Linked DNA regions of Tamandua tetradactyla. The protein of the gene in region 2 interacts with the protein of the main gene of each other region in a pairwise test. Links are inferred from orthologs where the notes say so. Each region holds a gene or a part of one and is shown on either strand. Other genes may lie near its edges. The genes, in order: UBE2R2, UBA52 and SNCA.

Region 1 (6,945 bases), on a different chromosome or scaffold from region 2:
TTATTTTTCCAATAACAGAATAAAATTCTGACTTGCTCCACTGTAGCAAAATCAAGTTCAGGGATTTTCTCAGTGTTCTAAACCATCTCCTACTTTGTCTTTTGTACACAAATGACCCCTAGAGGAAAAATTCCAAGCAGCAAAGAAATTCAGAAGGTCAATAAGATTAAGTGGACAAAAAGAGAGCAAAATCAAAAAATATTTTCATATGTGCAGAATAGACACAAGAAACTACCTTACCCAACACACATTCATAACCCCAAAACTAAGAATCACAAGGATTAGAATTATTAAAAAAAAAAAAAAAGCAGAATGAATTTTTAAAAATTGTGAAATACATGTCTCACAAGTCTCCACAACAGAACTTCTAGTTAAAACAAACTAGAGTCAACTATTTCATGGGGAAAAAGATCAATTAGTAGTCTACTGGTATATAAAAGTACTGTTATATGGAAAACTTAAAGAATGACAGTTCCATAGCCTTCACAAATTATTATGCAAAATACAGAAGCATTTAAGTTAAAAATAAATTATACTAAATGTTAAAGGACTAACATTTGATAAGGGAAGAGAATAATGGCAGGGAAAGCTCTGTGCCAACTTTTTAATTGCAGCTGTAGTGCAATAGCAGGGCAAGTTTTGTTTTGAGTCAAAAGTAGTGAACTACTAAACAATGGTTTTAAACCTATCACCTGTGTTAACTCCTCTTTATTATAAAGGGCTAATGGGATAAAAGGGCAATCAATGAGGAAAATAATAGAAGAAAATACAATTAATTGAACAAACTTCTCAAACACTAAAACATGACAACTTCAAGAATTTTTTTAAAGAATTTTTTTTTCACATATCAGAATTAAAGGTAAAGAAAACCTGAAAGATTAGGAAATCTAACACATACAATGAAATTGAGATTAAATCTTTTTTTTAAGCAGCACTAAAAGTGTTTAATTTAAATCAATGACTGTTCTAAGGAATCTTTCTTCCATACAATCTATTCTGAACTGCCAGGTTTCTCCATACTCCTTCCCTAGTAATTTAGGCAAAATTTATCTAATCTACTATAATTTATAGCCTATTATTTTCTTTCACACTTTTTTAAACAAACAGCATTAGAGCAATTATTCTAACTAGCACCTATTTATTTGACTGTCAACTGTCCCAAACTATGATACTTTTTAAGAAATTAATCTTTATTCTGCTAAAGTTAGTCAGTAGATTTTGCTAAATAATTTTGCTAGAAAAATTGTCAAATAAATTCCATTTTGTGTAAATAATTTTCCAGTATCCATAAACAAAAATTTATATTTATATTTAATAACAGTAGTAAAATGAGGCCTCAACATGGACACAGGACTACCCTTCTTCAATCTATCACAAACAACTTGTATATTTACTTAGTGATTTTGAATATCTGTATGTGAAAAGAATGCTGCACGCTAACCACAAAGCACAGTTGGTAAGGATACCTCTCTTACACAGTACTCTAAAAATCTGCTCTTACTAGGTTGTTGAATCATCACCACAGGCATGAATATTAGACATTATGGCATCAATCCTTCAAAGGGTCTACAAAAGTGGACAGAATTTCAAGCCTGAAACTGAGGCTTCTACCTTTAGAAGGGTAGAAAACAAGAGTTAAGTAATTGGGTAGTCCTAAAAATACACATCATAACTACATGACTAAGATACTCATTTAAAACCTGTGCCAAGATAGTCCCTCCCTTCAAAACAAACTAAAACTGACTCACTGATCTATTTTACTTAATTTTGGAAATAAAAAAACTAAATTAAATGAATTCCTAAGCACTCATTTCCTGTCAATTAAAACATTCAAATCTTCAATTTGTGATTGTCTCGCCAAAAACTCTAAAATAAAATAAAAATTTAGTATCTTCAAGATACCTATATTAAGAGTAAAAACAAAAACACTAGATTCAGGAATGATCATAACCACTGTTCTAAATCATAGAGAACAGACAACTTCTTTGTTGGCTGTATAAGGAGCCAACCCACCCTGTGAAACCACCTCACCTCCAAAGATAATTTTCTACTGTGAGATCACCCCATTTGCTAGAGTTAACTACCTGAGTAAAAGGTTTCAATTTTGTCTCCACTCCTGTACATATAGAAAAAAATGCCAGTAAAGTTGGTGGCAGGGGGAGGACAAAGGGCATTTCGAAACACTACTGAAGTAAATAGAGAACCAGGTCAGAAAAAGGTCTAGATAAAGTTCCCTCAACTGGATAATGGCAAGAAAACGTAGGCACCCTTTTTTTCCCCACCACCCCCAGGGTCCTATTCTTCATTACCGCCCACTGGAATGCAAACTTGGAACTACCAATAGCCAAGAATCCCAACAAATCCTCAAAATGTCAGGTCACTAGACAGCCTCTGGGATGACAGGCTAATGTCCCCACCCCCACCCGCACCCCAAAAAAAGAAAAACCCAATAAGTGCAGGTCACCCTGCCCTCTGGGGCAGTTCCAGCCTACGCAGGGATGATTCTGATGGGAGAAGGAGATAGAAAAGACAAACTACCTTTCTTTCCATACACCCTCAGCTGGGGAAACAAAGACAGCCCTCCTTCTCCGTTCTCTACTACCCTAGCCAAAAAGAGACTTTTTCTATTTCCCAGCGCAGTCTGGCCTCCCCTCCCGCCCCCGCCCCCATGACAAAGAAAAGGCACTTCGTGAGCAAGGCCTTCCTGCCTCCACGGATGGGGGGAGGGGGCTGCCGAGGTGAGGAGCCCCCTCCACTCACACGCGCTCCCACTTCTAGCCCCGAAAACAGATGAAACCGAACGAGGAGCAGAAGACTCGGCCGGGGAAAGCCAGGTCCGGGAAGGGGGAAAGGTACCTTGAAGTAGCCGCCTTCGTAGAGGGTGTTGGGGGGTCCGAAGATGGCCACCTCCCAGTTGTAGAGGTCGGACTCATCCACCAGGGTGATCCGGAAGCCCTCCACCGGTTCCTCCTGCAGGGATTTCAGCTCGAGCATCAGGGCCTTCTGCGAGCTGGTCATCTGCTGCTGGGCCATCGCGGCGGTGGCACCGGCCCGGGCCCCAGTCCTCACGCACCCGCCGGGCCGGAGCAGGCCCCTCCCCTCCGCTTGCCCTCGGGCCGGGCCGCGCCGGGCCCCTGTCTTCACACACCCGGCGGGCCGGACCAGGCCCCAGACGGCCCGCGGGCCGGTCCGGAGTCCTCCTCACACGCGACGCGGGCCGGGCCGGGCCCTTCTCCTCACACTTGGACGGGCGGGGGGGAGGGGTCGAGGGAGTTAGGGGGAATTCGCTCCGGGTCTGGGGCCTCCCCCCCCCGAGGGGGCCTCAGCTGGGGGGGGGGGGGGTCGAGGAGGTGGAGGCGGAGGAAGGCGGTGGAGGGCTGGCGACGGTGAGGGGAGGGTGCTGGCCCGGGAACGCGGCGCTCGCTCGCCCTCTCGTTCTCCAGGGGGTCTGCCGGGGCCCAGGTGGGAGGGGGAGGGCGGCACGCGAGGGTCTCGCGGTGGCGGCGGCTGCGCGGGGGGAGGGGCGACGGAGGAGGAGAGAAGCAAGAGCGCCTCGCGCCGCGGGAGCGACAGAGCCCAGAAGAAGCAGGGAGGGAGGAGGGGCGCGCGCCCGGAGAGGGTGGCTCGCAGCGGCTGGCGGCCCGACGCGCGTGCGCGCGCCCCTCCCTCCCCCGCCCTCCCTGCCCTCCTCGCCCTCCTCCTCCCAGATCCCCGCCTCCTCCACAGCCCCGCGCCGTGGCGGCGCTTTGTGACGTTGGCCGCGGGTGGGGGCCTAGGGTGGCCGCAAGGGACAACGTTGGCCATAAAATCAAGGTAGTGAAGCTCAACGCCGGGGTTCCACAGGCGCTCCCGCAAAGGGACCTCAGATCCAAGAGCTATCAGCGCCCTCCTACTAGGTACCGACGAGAACGTTCGGCCTCCGCACACATTCCCTGACGAGTCCAGGGACCCCGCAGGCCCTCCCCGAGGCCCTCAGTATGCGGGCCCTACACCCAGTAGGTGATTGAGAAGGATGTGCTTTGAATGTGGGTATTGTGATGACATCAACTTCACCACGTCTCCCCGGCACGAACTTTCGGTCCTCATGCCGGAGGGTCCTTGGGCAAGTCACTTACCTGGGGGAGGGAGAGTTTCCGACCCGAGAAATTGAGGAAGACAGATAGCTCCTACTTCCCTTCTTAACTACAAAGAGGAAGTTGAAGGGGGGTTAAAAAGAGAGAGAAAAATAGTGCTAGAGGCTGAACCTCGGTTCCTGATCATTTTCTGTGTACTTTGGGGCAAGTATTCTCACTGCCCCTCAGTTTGCCCATTTGTAAAATACCATGTTCTGACTTTGACCCCTTTCAGCTTCAAAATCCAACCTGGAAGTGACGGGCTTTTAAGATAATCATGATTGAGGTGAGATGTGAGGACAGTCTTCAGTGCCCTTGATTTTTGTATACCCCTTTCTTTAGAAAGGCACTTTCTATTAAATTTGCCTAGATGTTTCCTAGAAAAGCCGGGATACTGTGAGGGCTCCACACACTCAGAATTTTACTATCTGAAGTCTTGGTTCCAGCCCTGGCTCCATCATTTACATTACCTCTGTATCATCAGCGTCTCTAAAGGAGGTTAATTATACCTAACAAGCAATTGTGATGATCAAAAGAGATTTATGTACAGCGTTTAGCATAATGACTGACGTCGTAAATGATCCATAAATAGGACCTTGAAAGAAAGAAAAAAATTAAGCGTCACAGTTGTATTCTGAACACCACTTCCTTTGTTTTGTTTTAAAAATAGACTTTTTAAAGTTTTAGATTTACCAATGAGAAATAGTACAGAGAATTCCCATAAACGTCATCCAGTTTCCCCCATTATTAATATCTTACACTAATATGGTACATTTATTACAATTAATGAACATCATTATTAACTAAAATCCATACATTATTCAGCTTTCCTTAGTTTTTACCTAATGTCCTTTTTCTGTTCCAGATCCTATCTAGGACACCACATCACATTTAATTATCGTGTCTCTTTAGGCGCCTTCCTTTGGGCTGTTGCAATTTCTCAGACTTTCCTTGTTTTTTATGACCTTGACAGTTTTCAGGAATATTGGTGAGGTATTTTGTAGACTGGCCCTCAATTGGGATTTGTGTGACATTTTTCTCCTAATTAGACTACAGTTATGTATCTCTGGGATGAAGATCACAATGATAAAGTGCCATTTTCATCACATCATATCATATCAAAGGTACATACTATCAATATGATTTGTCACAGCATTCACCTTGATCATCTGACTGGTATTTGTCAAGCTTCTCCTTTGAGAAAAAAAAAAGTCTACTTTTTTCTCCTTTCTATACGATACCCTTTGGAAGGAAGTCACTATGTGCAGCCCAACATTTAAAGGATCCCATTCATTTTTTTGTTCATTTTTCTCAAAGATGGGGGTCTCAGTATTTTAATTAAAGGATAATTCTCTAGACCCCAACCACTCCCCTAGGTCTTGGCACCAAACACAACCGAACTTAGAGCTCCCCTCAGAAAAGGCAGAAAACTCGAGTCAATGTAGCTCCTTCTCACAAAAATGATATTGTATGACTGGTTCTGGCTTCCCCTCCCCCTCACTTTGGGTACAAGAAGTTTGCTGACCCGGAAATGTGGGAGGTAATGTTGACACCTTTAATAACAAGGCTCTGAACAGACAAATAGGCAGAAACTTCATCTTCAAAGCATTTCACCCACATAAATTCGTCACAGCTCCACCCTAATCCAAAGGATGGTGAATCCCTAGCCTAACCCACTTGAATATATATTTGGCATCCAGACCTAAAACTGCTCCTTTAGCTCACATCAACTGGCAGACTCATATTAAACATCCATTTGGGCATCACCCAAAGTTGGGTAGCTGACAAACTCATTTGTCTGGGAGACTCACAGCCTAGTTGATTAGTGAACTGTGTACTCGAGACTTTCCATCCTTAGGTCAGAAGAACTGGAATTCCACAGAACCAGTTTCATGTCATTTTATTGTAGCACATAAGACATTGTTCATTAGTAGACTGCAACTGTGTCTTATTCATCTATATATCCTCAGCAACCAACACACTGTCAAACACAATTAGACACTAAAGTAATTGTTCTCATGGACTCACAGCCAAAGGCAGGAAGACAATCAGTAACAAAAAAAGTAACAAATTGAACTCCCACTCCCATGCCTAATATGATCTCTTGGGCACATAAAAGGTGCTCAAGGTTAGAAATTCCATAAGGATAACAGGTCTTATTCATAACCATATGCGAGCTACTACACTGCTTGGCATATAGTAGGGGCTCAAAACATTTATCAAAAGGATGAATGGCAGAAACAGCCTCTTAGAGCTTTCTCATCTCGTAATGCCATAGATTTAAGACATAAATAGATTGACTTCACTGGCTGGTGCCCTCTGGTGGTAACTGATGTTTTAGTTAGATGCCTAGGCCCAGTCTGTTGCATCACCTGCTACTCTCTAAGCAGGGTGCTCCTGAACAATCTATTTCCTTTCTTCCAGATAGAAAAAATATGGAAATCTTGGCAAGATAAATGGAGGGAGGGTATTGGTATTTGCTTTAGAAATGTTGATTTTGGCTTTACAGAATGATTCTAAGAAGCCAATTTTTTTTCATTCATTCAACATGACACCAACTGTGTAAGATTTGGGCACTGCTCTTAAGGGGCCACACATTTCTTCTAATGATTATAACTGGCATTTGCTGAGCATCACTATGGCACAGACATTTTACATGCATTGTCCCTTTAAATCCTCATTAAACCAATGACATGGCTGTTACTAGAATCTCTATTTTACCAATGAGTAAACCAAAGCTTAAAGAGGTAAGGAAAGTTGCCCAATGTCACACAACTAGTAAACATAGAACCTGCAGTTGAACCTCAGCCATCCTTCTTCAGGGTGACTGCTC
Region 2 (7,533 bases):
GTGAAGAGACTGACTGTGCCCTCGGGCTCTGTCCTCCTGCGACTCCAGGCCCAGGGGTGCTGCACAGCAGATAACTGTGGGCAGATGGAGGGTGACTGGCCCAGTGGAACCCCAACAGCTGAAGCTGGAGGTGCCTGAGACTGTAGCCCCAGGGAAGCCAATGTGGAAAAGGCTCTGGGCTGTTTTCAGGCATCACCAGGCCCTAGTAAAGGCTGGCCAGGAAGAGGGTGGTGAGAGCCAGGCCATGAGTGGTCAGTCGTGCAGCCCTGCCACTCACTCAGCCTTTCTAGAAAGCCCCTCTGTGCTGGTATGAGTGAGAACCTGTAGCTGGCCCAGCTGGGGCTCCCACCTAGCTGCTCATCTGCCTACACCTGGATGCTTCCCAGAGCACAGGGAGTCTGGCCAGGTGAAAACCACAGCTGGTCCATGGTCTTCTGACCGACGGTCTCCATTCTCCCCTGCAGGTGAGGCTGAGTAGCTTTCTGTATGACACAGAGTCATACCCAGGAAAGGGCAGAATCCAGGGAACGGGGGCATGGCCCCATGCTAGAGGGCCACTCAGGGCCCCTCCTCTCGCACAGACCAGCCACATGGACACCTGTTACTGCTTCAGTCAACCAAAAGGAAACTTTATTGAGGTCTCAGGGCCATGGGACTCTGGAAAGAGGCTGCCCTGCCAGAGGCCGAGGAACCATGGAAAAGGGTCCTTATTTGACCTTCTTTTTTGGGCGCAGGTTGTTGGTGTGGCCGCACTTCTTCTTGCGGCAGTTGACAGCACGGGGGTGCAGGCGAGCATAGCACCTGGGGGTACAAAAGGGGCTGGTGAGGGCGCCACCCACCACCCCACCCTTGTCCGCCATAACACGCCTGGCCGCTTACTTGCGGCAGATCATCTTGTCGCAGTTGTACTTCTGGGCGAGCTGGCGGAGGGAAGGCTCAATGATGCCACCTCGAAGACGGAGTACCAGATGCAGGGTGGACTCTGTGGGGGAGGGGGGCGGGGGGCGGGGCAGCCTCAGCAAAGGGTGTTTTCGGGCTGGAGCCCCTCCACGGGGAGCACAGCCCCACCCACAGTGTCCATTTGGGTTTACCCAAACTCCAGAGGAACGTCTAACAGTGCAGGGGCAAACCTTTTACAGGTAAGACATTAAGTCTCATAACTGAGACGAATGGCACCAGTTTCCTCTATAGCAGTTCTAAGTGTCCCTTATCGCATTTCTAAATGCAATGAAGTCCCATAGTGAAGAACATAGGACACCGAGGCTGTTGGGAAATAATGGTCGAGGCTGAACTCCGTGTTTTATCACGCAGAGCGCCCACCAGGGCCAAAGGCTGCTTGTCCTGGGTGCCTGCTCCCCTGCATACCTTTCTGGATGTTGTAGTCTGAAAGAGTGCGGCCGTCCTCCAGCTGTTTGCCGGCAAAAATCAGACGCTGCTGGTCAGGCGGGATCCCTGAGGGGAAAGCAGAAAGCCCGCATGGCTGAGGCTCTGCTGAGTGACACGTCCTGGAAGCTCCTTCCCAGGGGGTCTCAGCATCCCCCCATCCTATCCAAGGGGAAACCGAGGCACGGGGCGAACAAGCCTTCCATGGTGACACTGGGGACTGCTGACGGAGCCGTGGCCTGTCTGGGCCGCACTCCCACTCCACACACGGCAGCACCTCCCTGGTGCTCCCCCCTGCCAGACTAACCCTCCTTGTCTTGGATCTTGGCCTTGACATTCTCGATGGTGTCGCTGGGCTCGACCTCGAGGGTGATGGTCTTGCCCGTTAGGGTCTTCACGAAGATCTGCATCTCTGCGTCTGTCGGGGTGGGCGGGGCTCAGCTCCAGCTCGGGCGCTGCCCGCCCCCGCCCCGCGGCTACCGCCATCGCCCTCCCACCCAGCCGGGCCTACAGTCCTGCCAGGACCGTCCTCTCCCCACCCTACTGCTTGATCCCTTGGCTGGAGCGGGCTTCACAGCGAGCAGGGCCAGATTCAGCCTCCTCACGCCTGATTCACGCGGGCCATGCGGAGAGGGGACGAGCGCAGGCCTGCCGACAGCCGGCAAGCCCTCGCACCTCCCGGCCGGCTTAGGAGCCAAGCCCCATCTCCTCAGACCGTCTCCTCTGCTTCCCACGCAGGATGCCCTGGCCCCACGCCGCGCCTCTGCCCACCACGTGATACAGGCCTGCTGAACGCGTCTCAGAAGCCCGAGAGTTGGCGCCGGGCCCTCGCAGCAGACGGGGTGGGTGCGGAGACCCGGCTCGGGAGGTGCCGCGCGGCTCCAGGGCTCTCCGCGCGGGGTCTGGCCCGGAGGAGACTCGCCCCCCTGACTCGGCGCTGCCCCTTCGGCCCCCAGGCCTCCGGGTCGCGCGCTCGGGGTCGCGGGGCGGGAAGGCCTCTTTCCCAGTCCCACTCGCCTCTCGCGGCCCCGCCCGGCCCCGCCACCCCCCGCAGGACCCCGGCAAGGCGCGAACCCGCACTGTCGCCGACACCCACCTTCCCGGCCGCCTCGTTGAAGAGAAAGAGGGAGGCGGAACCGGAAATCGCCGATTCGCCCCGAGAGCGCCTGCGCACCGAGCACGCCGCGCGCTTGCGTCACAATGCGCGCCGCGCCCCGCCCCCAATGCCGCCACCATGTTGACTGCTGGCGAGCGAAGCCGCGGCGAGTGTGGGCGGGCGGCAGCGACGCGCTTCCTTGTGCGGGCCCCACCCCCCGCAGGGTCACGTTGAAGAGGCCGCACCTTGGCAGGTGCTGGGCCCCGGGCCTGCCGCGTGGCGGTGGGGCCGAGCCGTGGAGAGGGTGTCTGGGGAACGAGGGCTCCGAGCTTCCGGGTGGGAAACAGTGCCTTCGCCCCGGACGCGGCGGGACGCATGGACTGTTGGGGGCTGTCGGGTGGCCTCCAGGTGCGGTATGCGGGAAGGGGTAGGGACCCACTCGTATTTTTTTTTTTTTTTAATTGGCTGGTGCTTAAATGAGACAGCACAACGTAGCACAGTATTTTTTTTTTTTAAAAAAAAGCAGATGTTTTATTGGCCTAATTCCTCAGTGCCTTGCGGGAAGGGACAGGGCTCTGAGTTTAGCAGGCAGTGGGACCCACCCTGGGGATCAGGTATGAGGGTCAGAGCTGGGGAGAAGAGGAGGGAGGGAAACTGTCCAATGCCCAGGTAGTGGTGGGGAGTAGGGCTGTGGTAGCAGCTGCCACTACTGGCTCCCCCCATGGCAGCCATGCCTCTCCCTAGACACGTAGCATGTCCTGCCCATAGGGCCCCAGGATTGAAGGAAGCCACTGCCAGGCACACATTTCCCTTTTTAGTAATGGACTCTTTATTGATAACTTCCCAACAGCATCTGTAAACATCGGGTACAAAAATATTGCGTTCAACTCTGTTTTCGAGGTGGCTCGGCTGGCCCCGGGGACCTTGGGGAGACCTGCCTGGCACTCAGGGTCTGTGCCTCAGATCAGGGAACCTCCGGCTTCAGGCCCAGGCTTGCAAGGCTGCCACCCTCCCTCAAGAGCCTCCGATCCCAGAAGCTCCCCTAGGGGATACCGGTTGGAGAAATCCATCTACGCTTTCAGCAGAAGAAGGGACAGGGAGATCCGAATTAGTGGGGTGGGGTGAGGCGGCGCTCTGCCTCCAGGAGGACCTGGCCTGGGGGCCAGGACATCTGGCTCTGCTCACCTTTTTTGGGTCTGTTCAGAACAGACCCTGGTCTGGAAAAGCTCCTTCCTGCCCAGCCCGATGCCAGCTGGGCAAGCCGTGCCCCTGGCTGGCAGAGGGCCTGCAGGAGAGCTGCGTGCTTAAGAGGCGGGAGCAGTGCGGAGGGCCCTGGAAAGCTGACTCAGAGACGGGCTCCCCACGCTGGGACCTGAGAGCCCAGGGAGCAGTGCTACTCGCCCGGCATCCCCTCGTCATCCCACTCGCTGCGGCCATTGACCACAGGGGAGATGGGCCTGACGTGGGACAGGTCCTCAAAGTCCGGGCTGGGGGGCGGCGAGACGAGGTCGGGGCTGGTGTCACAGGAGCCTGTGCTTTGCTCCGAGGTAGCGATGGTGGTGGTGGTGCTGGGTGGGATGGGGTCCTCGTCCTCGTCCTCCAGGAGGGATGCCTCAGGGATGTCTGCAGGGCACAGGCCCACCAGTTCAAGTCCTGCCTCTGCCCCTTCCTCGCTGCGCCCTCTTCCACCGGGTGCTACCCCTCCTGGGGCAGTGGGAAGCCTGTGTTGGGCTCACTGGGTGACGGCTGTCCCTATACCTGTCCACCTTCCCTGAGCGACCTCCCCCCAGAGAGGGGCCCAATCACAGCAGTTCTCTGCAGACCCTACCCCACCGACCCCTGGCCTGGGTCTCCCTGGGCCACCCCCCAGGGCCTGGTGGGTGCACAGCCCCAGCGACACTCACGGCTGAAGGCCTCAGGGTGCTGCCTGGCCAGTTTCCCCTTCAGCGTCCTGCAGAGGAGGAAGCACATGGGGCTGGGGGGAGCGAGCATGGCCAGGGGTCCTTGGGGTCCTTGCCCCGCCCCACACACGGCCTGTCTCAGCCCTGGGGTGGCCTCATGCTGCCCTGGCAGGCACCTGGGGACCACATGGGGCGCCACACAGCCTGCCCTCCTGGGATCTAAGCTCCGAGACCTGGAACCCGCTTGGGCAGCTTCTCCCCAGCAGTCACTCCTCCGTGCCCCTGGCTGCATCCTGCCCTCCATGGGGTCCTGGGGGCTGGGACCCGGCAGGCACCCGGGGAGGTTGTGTGGGAAAATGCACGGCCTTGGCCCTTGCTGAACTGGAGCTGGCAGGGGGGCCCCTGCTTCCTTCTTCAAGCCGGGGGTCCTTCATTTCCCCAGTCTGTGCTTCTATGGTTACCCCCAGCAAGGGAGGGTCCCCAGCTCCTGCCCCACGAAGGTACCCTCACTGTCTTGCTTCCCCCTCAGCCAGTCTGGGCACCTGGCAGGGCGCCCTCCTGGCAGGCCACAGGTGCAGCTGCAAGCAGGGAGGAAGGCTGGGCGTGGGGACAGTCCAGCAGAGCCCAGGGACCACGGAAGGCCTGGCATAGATCCCCTGCGGCCCAGGCCCCATGGCCAGCACCTCTCGGCCCAAGGGCTTGCTTTATTTTCCACTAAGGATGGCAAGCTGCTGAGGGACTCACAAATTGCCTCCCTGGCCTCCCTGACGGCCCTGCTGGGGCGGGGGCGGGGGGGGGGGGGCTGGTGAGGGGCTGCCAGTCCTTTTGTATCATGGGTCCCGAGATCTATCAACTTTTTCAAAGAATAAAGTTAAAACCGAAAACTGTAAAAGATTTTTATCCCAAAACCCAGACCTCCCCCGATGCCACCTCAAGGCTCTGTGGAGGTGTGCAGAGAAGGGCGGGGGCCGGGGTGGGGTGCGGTGAGGCAGGGACTGGACCGGAGGGGTGGGGACGGGACCGGAGGGGCGGGGGCAGGTACCCACCGGATCCTGCGGAAGATGCTGTCCAGGTCCCGCTTCATCTCCACCAGGGTCCTGGTGTGGTGCAGGAAGCGCTCGCTCATCTGCTGCAGGCGGGCACTCGACAGGTTGTTGAAGTTCAGCAGCATCTCATTGGTCTTCTCAAAGCGGTCGAGCCTGCGTGCAGGGTGCAGGCATTAGTTCTTCCGCTGGGACCGGAACCCGCAGTTCAAACCTCCAGAACTGACCCGCTAAGGCCTTTTTGGCTTTTTGGCCGTGTTCCTTTGTTCTACAGCACTTCACCCAAACTCCTATTCATCTTTAAAAACCCTACTCAAGTGTGTCCTCCTTCTGTCACTGTCACCTGCTCCCTCAAGCAGGCTCTTTACTCTGTCTCTTGACTCCCCCAAACCCAGATTCTTCCTCCTGGCACGGTCCAGACCAATACAGCTGGAGGGTGGAAGGGCATTTGGCTTTGTCTCCCCAGTCTGGGAGTTCCCAAGGCCAGGTTGGAACCTGACCTAATGAATGAGCTGAGAAGGATACTTCTAAGATTCGGCACACTCAGCACCCCTGTCACAAGGTGAGAGAAACACAAGGAAATCACATCTGTGCTTTGTCCCAAGTGGAGGGCATGGAGGGCCTTCGGCTTAAGGAGCTGACAGCAAAGGCTGTCCGCCCTTCCCCAGGACTAGGGTTCTGGATCCCGAGGGCACAGGGCATTCACAGCCCCTACAGGAAGTCAGCTCACCGGCTTTCTCCCACTCCCTCACCCCCCCAGTGGCCCACTGCTGTCCCCCCAGCTCTCCCCAGCCCAGGCTTGGGACAGGAGTCTCGGCAGCCCACGCCAAGCCATCCACAGCTGCAACCCTTCCCCGGCCCTGCTTCCCGTGCCAAGGCCTCGCCTCCAGGCCTGCAAGGAGTTCGCTCTGGAGCCAGCCAGGCAGATTTGCTCATTTCCTTCGTTTTATCCCCAGCGCGGGCCTGGGACAGGGGCGGGGCTGGGCCCCCACTCCAGGCCGGCGCGTGGCCGCCACTCACATGTTCTTCTGGGCCTGGATGATGGCGTTGACGTCGTCCGCGTCCACCATGTTCAGGATGCGGCTGCAGAAGACCCTCGAGGCCGAGTCCGGGGGCTCCATCCCTCCCTCTGTCTTCGCTGCCTGGAATGGGCAGGAAGAGCCTGGTCAGTGCCAGGCCCCAGGTGGCGTCACTAGGCCCCCGAGCCTCAGCTGGGAATTTGGGGGGGTTAGGAGAACTAGAGGAGGTTGCTTTGGGCTGAACTGTGTCCCCCCAAAAGACATCAGAGTCCTGGCACCCAGTGTTGCAAACGGGGCCTCCTCTGGAAGGAGGGCCTCTGCAGCTGCCGTCCGCGAAGCCGCAGTCATGATGGAGCCACGCGGCCCCTGACCCACTAGGTCGGGGAGCTGGACCCACATGGACAGGGGCAGAGAGGAGCACACCGCTGCACAGGCAGTCTTCAGGGGAGGTCCTGCTGCGCAGGCACGTCCCACCCAGACCCCTCCCAGTTCCTCGGCCCCCAGGGCCCTGGCATTCTCGCCTGCGGAGCTCAGTCAGCCGCCTCCCTTGCCTGCTCTGCTCCAGGGCCTCTGCGCTAGCTGTTTCCATGGCTGGACTGTGCGCGGCGGCCCCTCGAATCACCATTCACCCCCACGGACTCCTCCCCAAGAAGTCCTACATGGCCACCCCGACCCTGCCCCTCATCACTTGGCCTCGTTTGGATCTCTTCATTCCAAAAATTATCTCCATCCTGAGCTGGCCTGTTGGTCTGCTGCCCCTGCCTCCACGGCAGCCCCAGGAAGGACCCACATCTGTCTTGTTCGCTCCTCTGCCTCCAGGGCTGACCCAGAACCTGGCTCATAGTGCTCCCCAGAACTTAGCTGACATAAGAGTTTTATTACCAAGTTAAAGCCAAGGGTTTCAGGCTCTGGCCACCCAGCTGTGCAGCACCCATCTTCCCTGGCAAAACTCAGGCTGAGGGTTGCTTCCCAGGCCCTTGAACAGGAAGGGTCACGGTTTCCATGCCATCCCTCCTGGAGGGGGTAGGAAAAGCCTGAAATCCCAGCTGGCTTAGCTCTGGGGCCCATACATGTAGTGGCTGACCGACAGG
Region 3 (8,078 bases), on a different chromosome or scaffold from region 2:
TTTCATACCCTACCACTTTGCTCAAAGACTTCCTTTGTTACAATATGAATTGACCACATGGCCCCGTGTAAAACACTAGTTGTTTTATTGGGAAGACGAAGAAAGTTTATGTTAAGCATGCATTTCATAGATGTTTATCTATACTAAATTATGGTATTAAACCAAAATAAAATAACCCAATTAAGGAGTAGGAAAATATTTAGACTCTATTTTTCAAAGAGAAAATTAAACATGTATTCAGTTCTTACTACCTGAATGCACACCTCAGTAGTGCTTCGCAACAGGTTATTATTCTGTATTCTGAAAAGGAACAATCCATCCAACTAGTTTAAATTTTAACCTTATATTCAGAGGGTTAAAATTTATTCAATCCCATTCTGTCAATCAATGTTGGAAAGGAAAGTATGCGTATTAACTTCCAGTTCCCTTCTTTGTTCTGGGGAAGCACACCTCCTTAAGAATATGGAGGTAAGAAATTACAGGTAGAACATAAGCAATCACTGCTGATGTTATCACTAACTGAAATTTTACTTTTAATTTTATGTTAATTGAAAATCTTCTAAATAACAAAATGTTTTATTTAATTTTATTTTAAAAGGATGCTTACATGTTCAAAGCACTTTGAAGTGCAAAAAGAAGAGTAAAACTTATAATTCTAATTCAAAATGACAGAAAACAATCATTTTATAATTTTGTTTTTTTTCTTTTTTTTTTATTTTGCAGATGTTGAGAAATCATTTCTGCCTGCTAAGAAGTATCAATACAAAAAGGCACATTTTCAAATATAGATGCACTATTTTATAATTACATAAATTCTCTTTGATTTGGATTGTCATATCTAAATTCAAAGGCTAATTCTAACATAGTGGGGATCCACTTTCTTTTCCTTCTCACCATACATCACTCCAAAAATATGAGGCTTCAGATGGTAACTGTTGAGTCAGGAAATGATAATTCCTCTTGGAATGGTTTCTGCTGGGGATCTCAACTCTGCCACATGAGAGCTGGGTGATCTCAGCCTCAAAGTTACATAATAAAACTTAACTTAGTCCTCTGTTATGATTGAATGATACAGTGTGTTAGTCTTTTGCAAAGCAAAAAGTACCATATGAAGGCATGGAATCATCTTATTTATAAAAATGCACACACAAAAAACCACCCCAAAATAATTCTACCAGTGGTCTGATATAGGCCCTAAAATACTTATCATTTTAGTCACTCCTTGACTTAATATATCAGTTCTCAGTATGTGTCCCTGATAAACTATAAATATGTCATATGAAATCATATATAAAATAAGTATCATAATAATTTATCATGGTAGGTAGCTATGTTGAGTCACAGTGGAAAATGTTTATTGTTGGCAGGGGAGGTCCCACAAATGTGAAATTGACTATGAATGGTCTTGCATGCTTTTGGTGAGGGGTGTCTTCTTGCAGGACTTGGGAAAGCAGAGAACAGAAAGGGGGCACCAGTTTATTGTGTTACTAAGATTGGCAATTGCTGACAGGGTAATTTTTCTATTCTACCATTCTACATGCATATCCACATGCTGCATTTAAGGTTCACAGAGCTTAGTTGAAAATAAGATTTAGGATTTATACTTCAGAAAAGAAAAGACACTTTTCAAAACGATTCTTTACAAGAGGGTGATTGATTTTAATCTAGATTTTCTATCCCTTTATTACTTGATCTGTTTTTTTCTAAGTGAGAGAGAATAAGGCTAAGTCAAACAATGTTCTGGTCAATTACAGTCATGATTTAACTCTGGCATAAGAAGATAGAGCCAGTGTGTTGCAAGTGAGCATCCACTAAGACCCCTCAGAATCATCACAAAGCTAATGATCTGGCCTTAAAGGATTAATTTGGGGTGTTCTGATTCACCCATCCTTCTCAGCTCTCCTCTGGAGCTCTATGTCTGGCATCTGACAACTTTCAGGGCTGTCTGAATTCATCTGCTTGTGTCTTAATGGAAGATACTATCTCCTTCTCCATCTCCTCCCCACCTCACCTTCAGCAACTTAAATATGATATTCCCACACTTTTATTATTCTTTCCTTCCCCATTTTATTCTTATGTTTTATTACAGAGATCCATTCTCATATCTGATTCAAATTGGTATTTGCTACAATAGTACATTGTTTACCTTTGATCTTAGACATCCATGACCAGTAATGACCAAGGGAAAAAGGTTGAAGCTATCACATTCTAAGTCCAATAAGTTGTATACAAGGAAGGAAGGAAGGAAGGAAACAAGGAAGGAAGGAAATTTATTTTTAATTAAAGTCAATCCTAACAGAAATCTGAAATTGAGAATTGGAAGAAACAGTGAAAGAGTATCAAACACCACAATGAGATGTGGGTTACCACTACATTCCATTAAGGTGGCTAAAGGGAAAAAGATTTATAACCCAAATGTTGGGGACCATGTATAGACCAGAACTCTCACACATTTCTGTATGAATGTAAAATGGTACAACTACTTTTGAAAATGACCTGGCAGTTTCTTAAACATACATTTACTGTAGCGATTCCATTCTTATGTATTTACTGAAGATAAATGAAAGCAGGTGTCTGTAGAAAGGCTTGTAAAGAAGCTTCATAGCAACTTTATTCATAATTTCTTCAAACTGGAAACAACCTGAGAGTCCATGAACAGAAGGATGGATTAAAATACTTGGTAATATTAATGCAATAGTGCTTTGCAAAGCATAAATTATCATATAGAGGTGTGGAATCATGCTGTTATGAGACGCACGAAAAGTAACAGCTGCCCCCAAATAACTCTCCCCTTCATCTGCCATGGAGCCTATAAAAATCAACCAGTTCCAGTCATTCCTTTAATTTAAAGCATTAGGTCTCAAGAAGGTCTCTGTTAAAATGTAAACGTGTCATCTCAAATAATTGATGAAATCATTATCTTAATAGTCTCTCAAGAAAAGTCACTGTGAAAATCACTTTTTATTGGCAGTCATAAGGGAAACAATAAAAGGCAAATAAAAGAAACAAATTTCTGAATGAAGTTTGAATGAACCTCACATACATTATGCTGAGGGAAAGATGATAGATACAAAAAAATTATCTTGTATAACCTTTTATGAAATTCTAGACTATACACAACTAAGAAGGGGCAAAGACAACTTTCTGCATCTTCAAAATGGTGTGGATTACACTAATGCAGAGATTTTTCAAAACTGGTTTAAAGGAACACTTAAGGTCTGAGCATTCACTGTATGTAAATTATACTTCAACTTAAAGAAGATCATCAAATGTCATTGTTATTTTTAATAGTTCTTATATTTTATGGAAACATGCTGAAAGATTTACAGGTAAAAAAATTTATATGTAATGCCTGGGATTTGCTAAAAATTGTAAATATCAGGACAGAATGGGTCTGAATTCCACTGAAAACTGTGGGAGTTGTGTAATAGTCTCTACCTGGGGATACAGCTGAACATTTTCCATAATAAAAAAAGGTGAAAAAAAAGGGATTATCTGTGTTCACCTCCTCATTATATAAGAGAGAAAACTAGAAACAGAAGGAGGCAAAACCACCCTTAAGTTCTCAAAGCCTGGTTACAAACTATCTCCCAGGTGCAACCTTCTTTCTCTGTATCCAGGAAATACAAAATATATGTAACTGTTTTTCTTGAAAGGCTGCTTTTAAAAACGGCACACCAATAATAAGCCCTTACGTATTTATGACCTCATACTTACTTTCTTCTCTTCTTTTTTCTACCGAACACGCGTGATTATATATACATATATATATATATAATATTCACACATATCGTTTGCTTTCTGTCCTTTGAGATTTCAAATGATTGTTTCTTGATTGCATTTCGAGAACCCAAACGAGGCAAGGATCAGAGAAATCTTTGTTTCTATAAAAAAAAAAACAGCAAAAACAAACAAAATAATTAAAAACAAAAACAAAACCATATAGCGAAGACTTGTTTTTCCCTTCCAGGGCTGAAATCATCCTCCCAATCCCAGCAAAGGAAAGCAAAGACATTCTGCTGAGGGAGGAGCTTAGTCTACTGTGATCCAAGAACAGCTCCCCCCTCCCACCCCCAGCCCCACCCCCGCCCCAGCTCTAGAGAGGTGAACATGTATTAAGCGATGCAAACATTGTCTTGCGGCGCGCTCGCGTTTGTGTGTGTGTGCACGGGTACGTGTCAGCTCCGACAGCAACAAGGACCAGAAGTCAGAAAGGTGTGTGGTGCATGAAGTCTCATCTTCAGAAGGGACCGAAGAGGAAATTGGATATGATGGTCCAGCAGGGCACACCAGGCAGCTTTTGTTCCCTCCATCCAGATACTTGGGTCTGGAAAGTAAATCCCACTTCAAAAGCGAAAAGCTTGTGATCACTGGTTTTCGACGGCTGGGGAATATTTATTCCTTGTGCCAGTGATGGGAAATTCAGCGTCTGGCAGCCTCTGATTGGTGGAAAAGAAAATGGTGATAGTGGGGTGGGAAGACGATTTGACAAGCTTCCTCCTACCTCAACCTGTAAGTCTTCCTTAGTCTCATCTCCGCTTGAGGGTCCTTTCAGGCTCCTCTGGGGTTGGGAGCAAACGAATATCTGAAGCTATTTGAACAAAAGCAACCGCTGGTCAAACTTAAGCTCTCCGAGGGAAACGTGCTCTCGCAGGTGCAGATATAAGCATCTTTCCTAGGCTGCCTCTCTCCCCAAGAGATTGACTCGGACTTTGGTGTTCTATCCCTTAGGCCCCCGGCTCCCGAGGTTGGATCTGGCGAGTGGGTCCCCAAGAGGAATCTTACAGAAAGGCAGAGACAGGGGAAAAGGGCGAATGGAAAAGAGGGAGAGACATTAGCCAGAGGCCAACCGCTTCGGAGCCTCCCAGTAGTTCCGGTGACCCTGTACTTGGGGTGAATCGCACTACACCCTACCTTTCCGCCTTGCAGGACCAGGCGGGCCGCTTCCAGTTGGAAGGATAACTCCACCTTTCCCCAACCCCCCAACGCACACACAAAATCGAGCCAAGTGCACGAGGCAGGGAAAGCAGCGAGCTCCGGGAGAGGGGCGGGGAGAGGCGCTGACAAATCAGCTGTGGGGGCGGTGAGCCGAGGAGAAAGGGGAGGAAGAAGAGGAGGAGGACCACGCGCCAGAGAAGGGGGTTGGAGAAAGGGGGCGAAGGAGCAAGCGCGGCGACGTAGCAGAGTCAGGTATGTGCTAGCTTTGGAACGGTCCCGGGGGACCGAGCCCCGCCTTTAGCATCCTTCTGGCTCTCTCCCGCCTTCCCTTCCGACCCTCTGCTGTTTGTTTCTGAGCCTCTTGTGCTTGGAACCGGGAGTGGCAATTTGACTACAGGTTCGCGAGTTCGCCTCCCACGCCCCCAGCCTCTTGTCGCTGGGTTGTGCTGACTGCAGCCTACTCTGGGGACCATCCCTCTCCTGGTGCCGCTTGCGCCCTTCCTGTGCGCTCCGTTTCCTCTCTCTTTCCATTTAAATAATATGTGGGAATTGTTTAGCTAGAATAATAATAATAATAAAAATTTAAAAGCAGGGGTTGGAATCAGAGTTCAGGAGAAGTGTAGGGGCTCAGGTAAGTTCCTGTAGCTCTAAACGGGCTGGGAGCTTTAGGAATCCTGGAGAAGACCTGGTGGGAAAGGGGTGACGTTACCGTGGACGCCTGGGACCGGGCTTGGTGCCAAGGTGAGCACCGGCTGTGTCAAGTCTCTGGACCGTGGATGGGTTCTTATTCCTTTGGTGAGCTTGAGGAGAGTAAGTTGACCTGGCTTTCCACATGATTTCCATATTCACCCTTTCTTCCCAAAGGCTGAGAGGTCCGGTCGCTTCCTCGCGGTACACTTCTCCTTTGGGAACCGCGAGGATGCTTGTTGGAGCGTGTGCACCCAACTTTTATTTCTCTTACTTTAAATCCCTCAGTCTGCCCTCTGGGTTTCTCTTGTAAAATAAGCAAGCTGTTTTGGGCGAATAATTAAATGGAAGTGCCGGGAGGGCAAATCAACAGGTGGTAAGGGATTAACAGGTGCGTGTATTGGCCTTCCCAGCCCCAGCCCGCCGGCGGGTTCGCGCTGAGAACGGTCTCTGCCGTGGCGCTCCTGGGTCGTGTGCCCGCGGGTGTGAACGGCGCCTGCTCTGGGCTGATAGCTGACGGTGGGGGTGTATGGTCGGGTAGATTAGAGCGAGCTGTTGGCCTGAGGGTCAACCACACCCAAGTGAGTAGTTCCCTTGCCTTTGCTCCCCAGGATCAATTTGGCAGTCCGCTTCCGACATTCATTTTAAGGATTCCCTCAGGCGCCCAGCTTCCAGCTCCGTTTCTTTTCCTGTGGTCTTCTAAAAGTGCTTGTAACTTAGTCACGGTTTTTTTGAACCCTGGGAAGTTGAAAGAGGGTTATAGCCTTTCATGCAACTCCACTTCGGAAAAGCTGTAAGGGCAGCTCAGATGATTCATCCTAATCCATATTTAGACCCAACTAAGCGAGATGGATAAGGGATGCTAAATATTTAAAGCAAAAGCTAAAGGGCGGTCTTGTCCGATGGTTGAAATGAGTGCACACTTGAAAGTATCTCACACTGTGGGGGAGTTCTGCTAGTTTTTAAGTAGTTTTACCTTTGGAGGTTTGAATTTTGTTTTACCAGGATGTTCTCATTCGAGGTGTATTTTGTTTCCTCTAGTGTGGTGTAAAGGAATTCGTTAGCCATGGATGTATTCATGAAAGGACTTTCAAAGGCCAAGGAGGGAGTGGTGGCTGCTGCTGAAAAAACCAAACAGGGTGTGGCAGAGGCAGCAGGAAAGACCAAAGAGGGGGTTCTCTATGTAGGTAGGTAAGCTCTCAATGCCATTTTAGTATTTATTCATGACCGATGGATTAGGATGATTGATACTGTAAATGCTGAAAGGCTGGTATGCTTTGCTTGATTCATGTTTGCGTCATCACTTGTGAAAAGGATGAACTTAGTCAGGTATGAGTGGGTAGGTAAATGTGTATTTCAGCTACTAGTACAAAATGGAGCTAATCTTTTGCTTTTCCTGATTATTCAACTTCACAATAATATTGAAGGTTTTTTGTTTCTTTTCTAAGAAATGAATGTTTTTGTGAATAAGTGATTATATTTCAGATGACAGTTTTTAAAACAGCATCTTTAAAAAATCAAGAATATCCTTAAGAAACAAAATGATTTATTTTTGACTTATCCTCATGATTAATCTTCCTTCAATTTTTGTATTATTTTGATATTAAAATATGACTTTACTATGGCCTCAGATAGGTGAAAAAGAGACCTACTATCACCTCAAAATAGAAAGGACAGATTAGTCTCTCATGAAGTTTCCCTTTGTAACCATTTGGTAGACTGGAAATTAAGAACCTAAGAAAATACTTGAGTGTTATTATTAATATCTCTGAAACATAAATATATTTTATTTCTCAATTGACATATAATAATAAGGTTGATCCTTATCACCTCTGCTTGTTCCTAATTCCCACAGTGGAGTTTTCACCCAGACCAGAACCCTCATTTATATATAACTAGGAGTGTATTAGGTTGAGTCTTATTTTATAAACCACTTGAAGTTCTTTTGGGAAAGAGTGATATACGAGGCATTCACACACTCACACTCACACACACACACACACACACACACACACACTGCCCATTCTTCCTCTCCTCTTAACACTCTGCTCCTGTGAACTTTTCCACATTCTTCAGTGGCAGTTAGGACAGCTTTAGCCACAGGATGAGCCATAAAGTAGAGGATGAATTTACTGAAATTTATATCAGATTTTTTTTTCTTATTGTTGCTCATAGACTCCTTTCTATGAAAAATTACTTTTTATTCCTCTACTTTAAGATATATTTTCAGGAAATCATTGCAATAAGGAGTGTTACATGAGAAAAAACCTTGAATGAGTTTAAGTGTTTTGTGAAGTGTGAACTACATAACTTTAGGTGAAATTTGCAATACTGAATAAATGACACACAGATTATAGGTACCTTTACATTTGCCATAAATTGCCCAACTTGTGCAAGTGCACTGTAGTAATTTTGGCTTGAGTTACTTTATAACTTTAAAGATTTTCTTTGAG

What was found.
Region 1: the proteins of UBA52 (region 2) and UBE2R2 interact in a two-hybrid assay, tested with the Homo sapiens proteins (2 studies listed by BioGRID and IntAct, with this or other methods). The link is inferred for Tamandua tetradactyla from reciprocal best matches to the Homo sapiens genes UBA52 and UBE2R2.
Region 3: the proteins of UBA52 (region 2) and SNCA interact in binary tests that used the Homo sapiens proteins (3 or more experiments, as listed by UniProt). The link is inferred for Tamandua tetradactyla from reciprocal best matches to the Homo sapiens genes UBA52 and SNCA.

Annotation. Positions count from the first base shown.
Region 1 is NC_135328.1:62,250,012-62,256,956, forward strand, and holds the start of UBE2R2 (ubiquitin-conjugating enzyme E2 R2), read right to left. Parts: upstream 3,052-6,945; 5' UTR 3,034-3,051; coding exon 2,857-3,033; intron 1-2,856. UniProt on the Homo sapiens protein: E2 ubiquitin-conjugating enzyme that accepts ubiquitin from an E1 ubiquitin-activating protein, and catalyzes its covalent attachment to other proteins by an E3 ubiquitin-protein ligase complex.
Region 2 is NC_135337.1:96,078,434-96,085,966, forward strand, and holds UBA52 (ubiquitin-ribosomal protein eL40 fusion protein), read right to left. Parts: upstream 2,601-7,533; 5' UTR 2,480-2,600; intron 2,092-2,479; exon of another isoform or gene 1,923-2,091; intron 1,802-1,922; 5' UTR 1,794-1,801; coding exon 1,691-1,793; intron 1,453-1,690; coding exon 1,366-1,452; intron 983-1,365; coding exon 880-982; intron 802-879; coding exon 708-801; 3' UTR 602-707; downstream 1-601. Other genes in the region: KXD1 (kxDL motif-containing protein 1), read right to left, coding at 3,873-4,183, 4,384-4,430, 5,427-5,579, 6,444-6,544.
Region 3 is NC_135350.1:36,699,828-36,707,905, forward strand, and holds the start of SNCA (alpha-synuclein), read left to right. Parts: upstream 1-5,059; 5' UTR 5,060-5,190; intron 5,191-6,270; exon of another isoform or gene 6,271-6,418; intron 6,419-6,666; 5' UTR 6,667-6,691; coding exon 6,692-6,812; intron 6,813-8,078. UniProt on the Homo sapiens protein: Neuronal protein that plays several roles in synaptic activity such as regulation of synaptic vesicle trafficking and subsequent neurotransmitter release.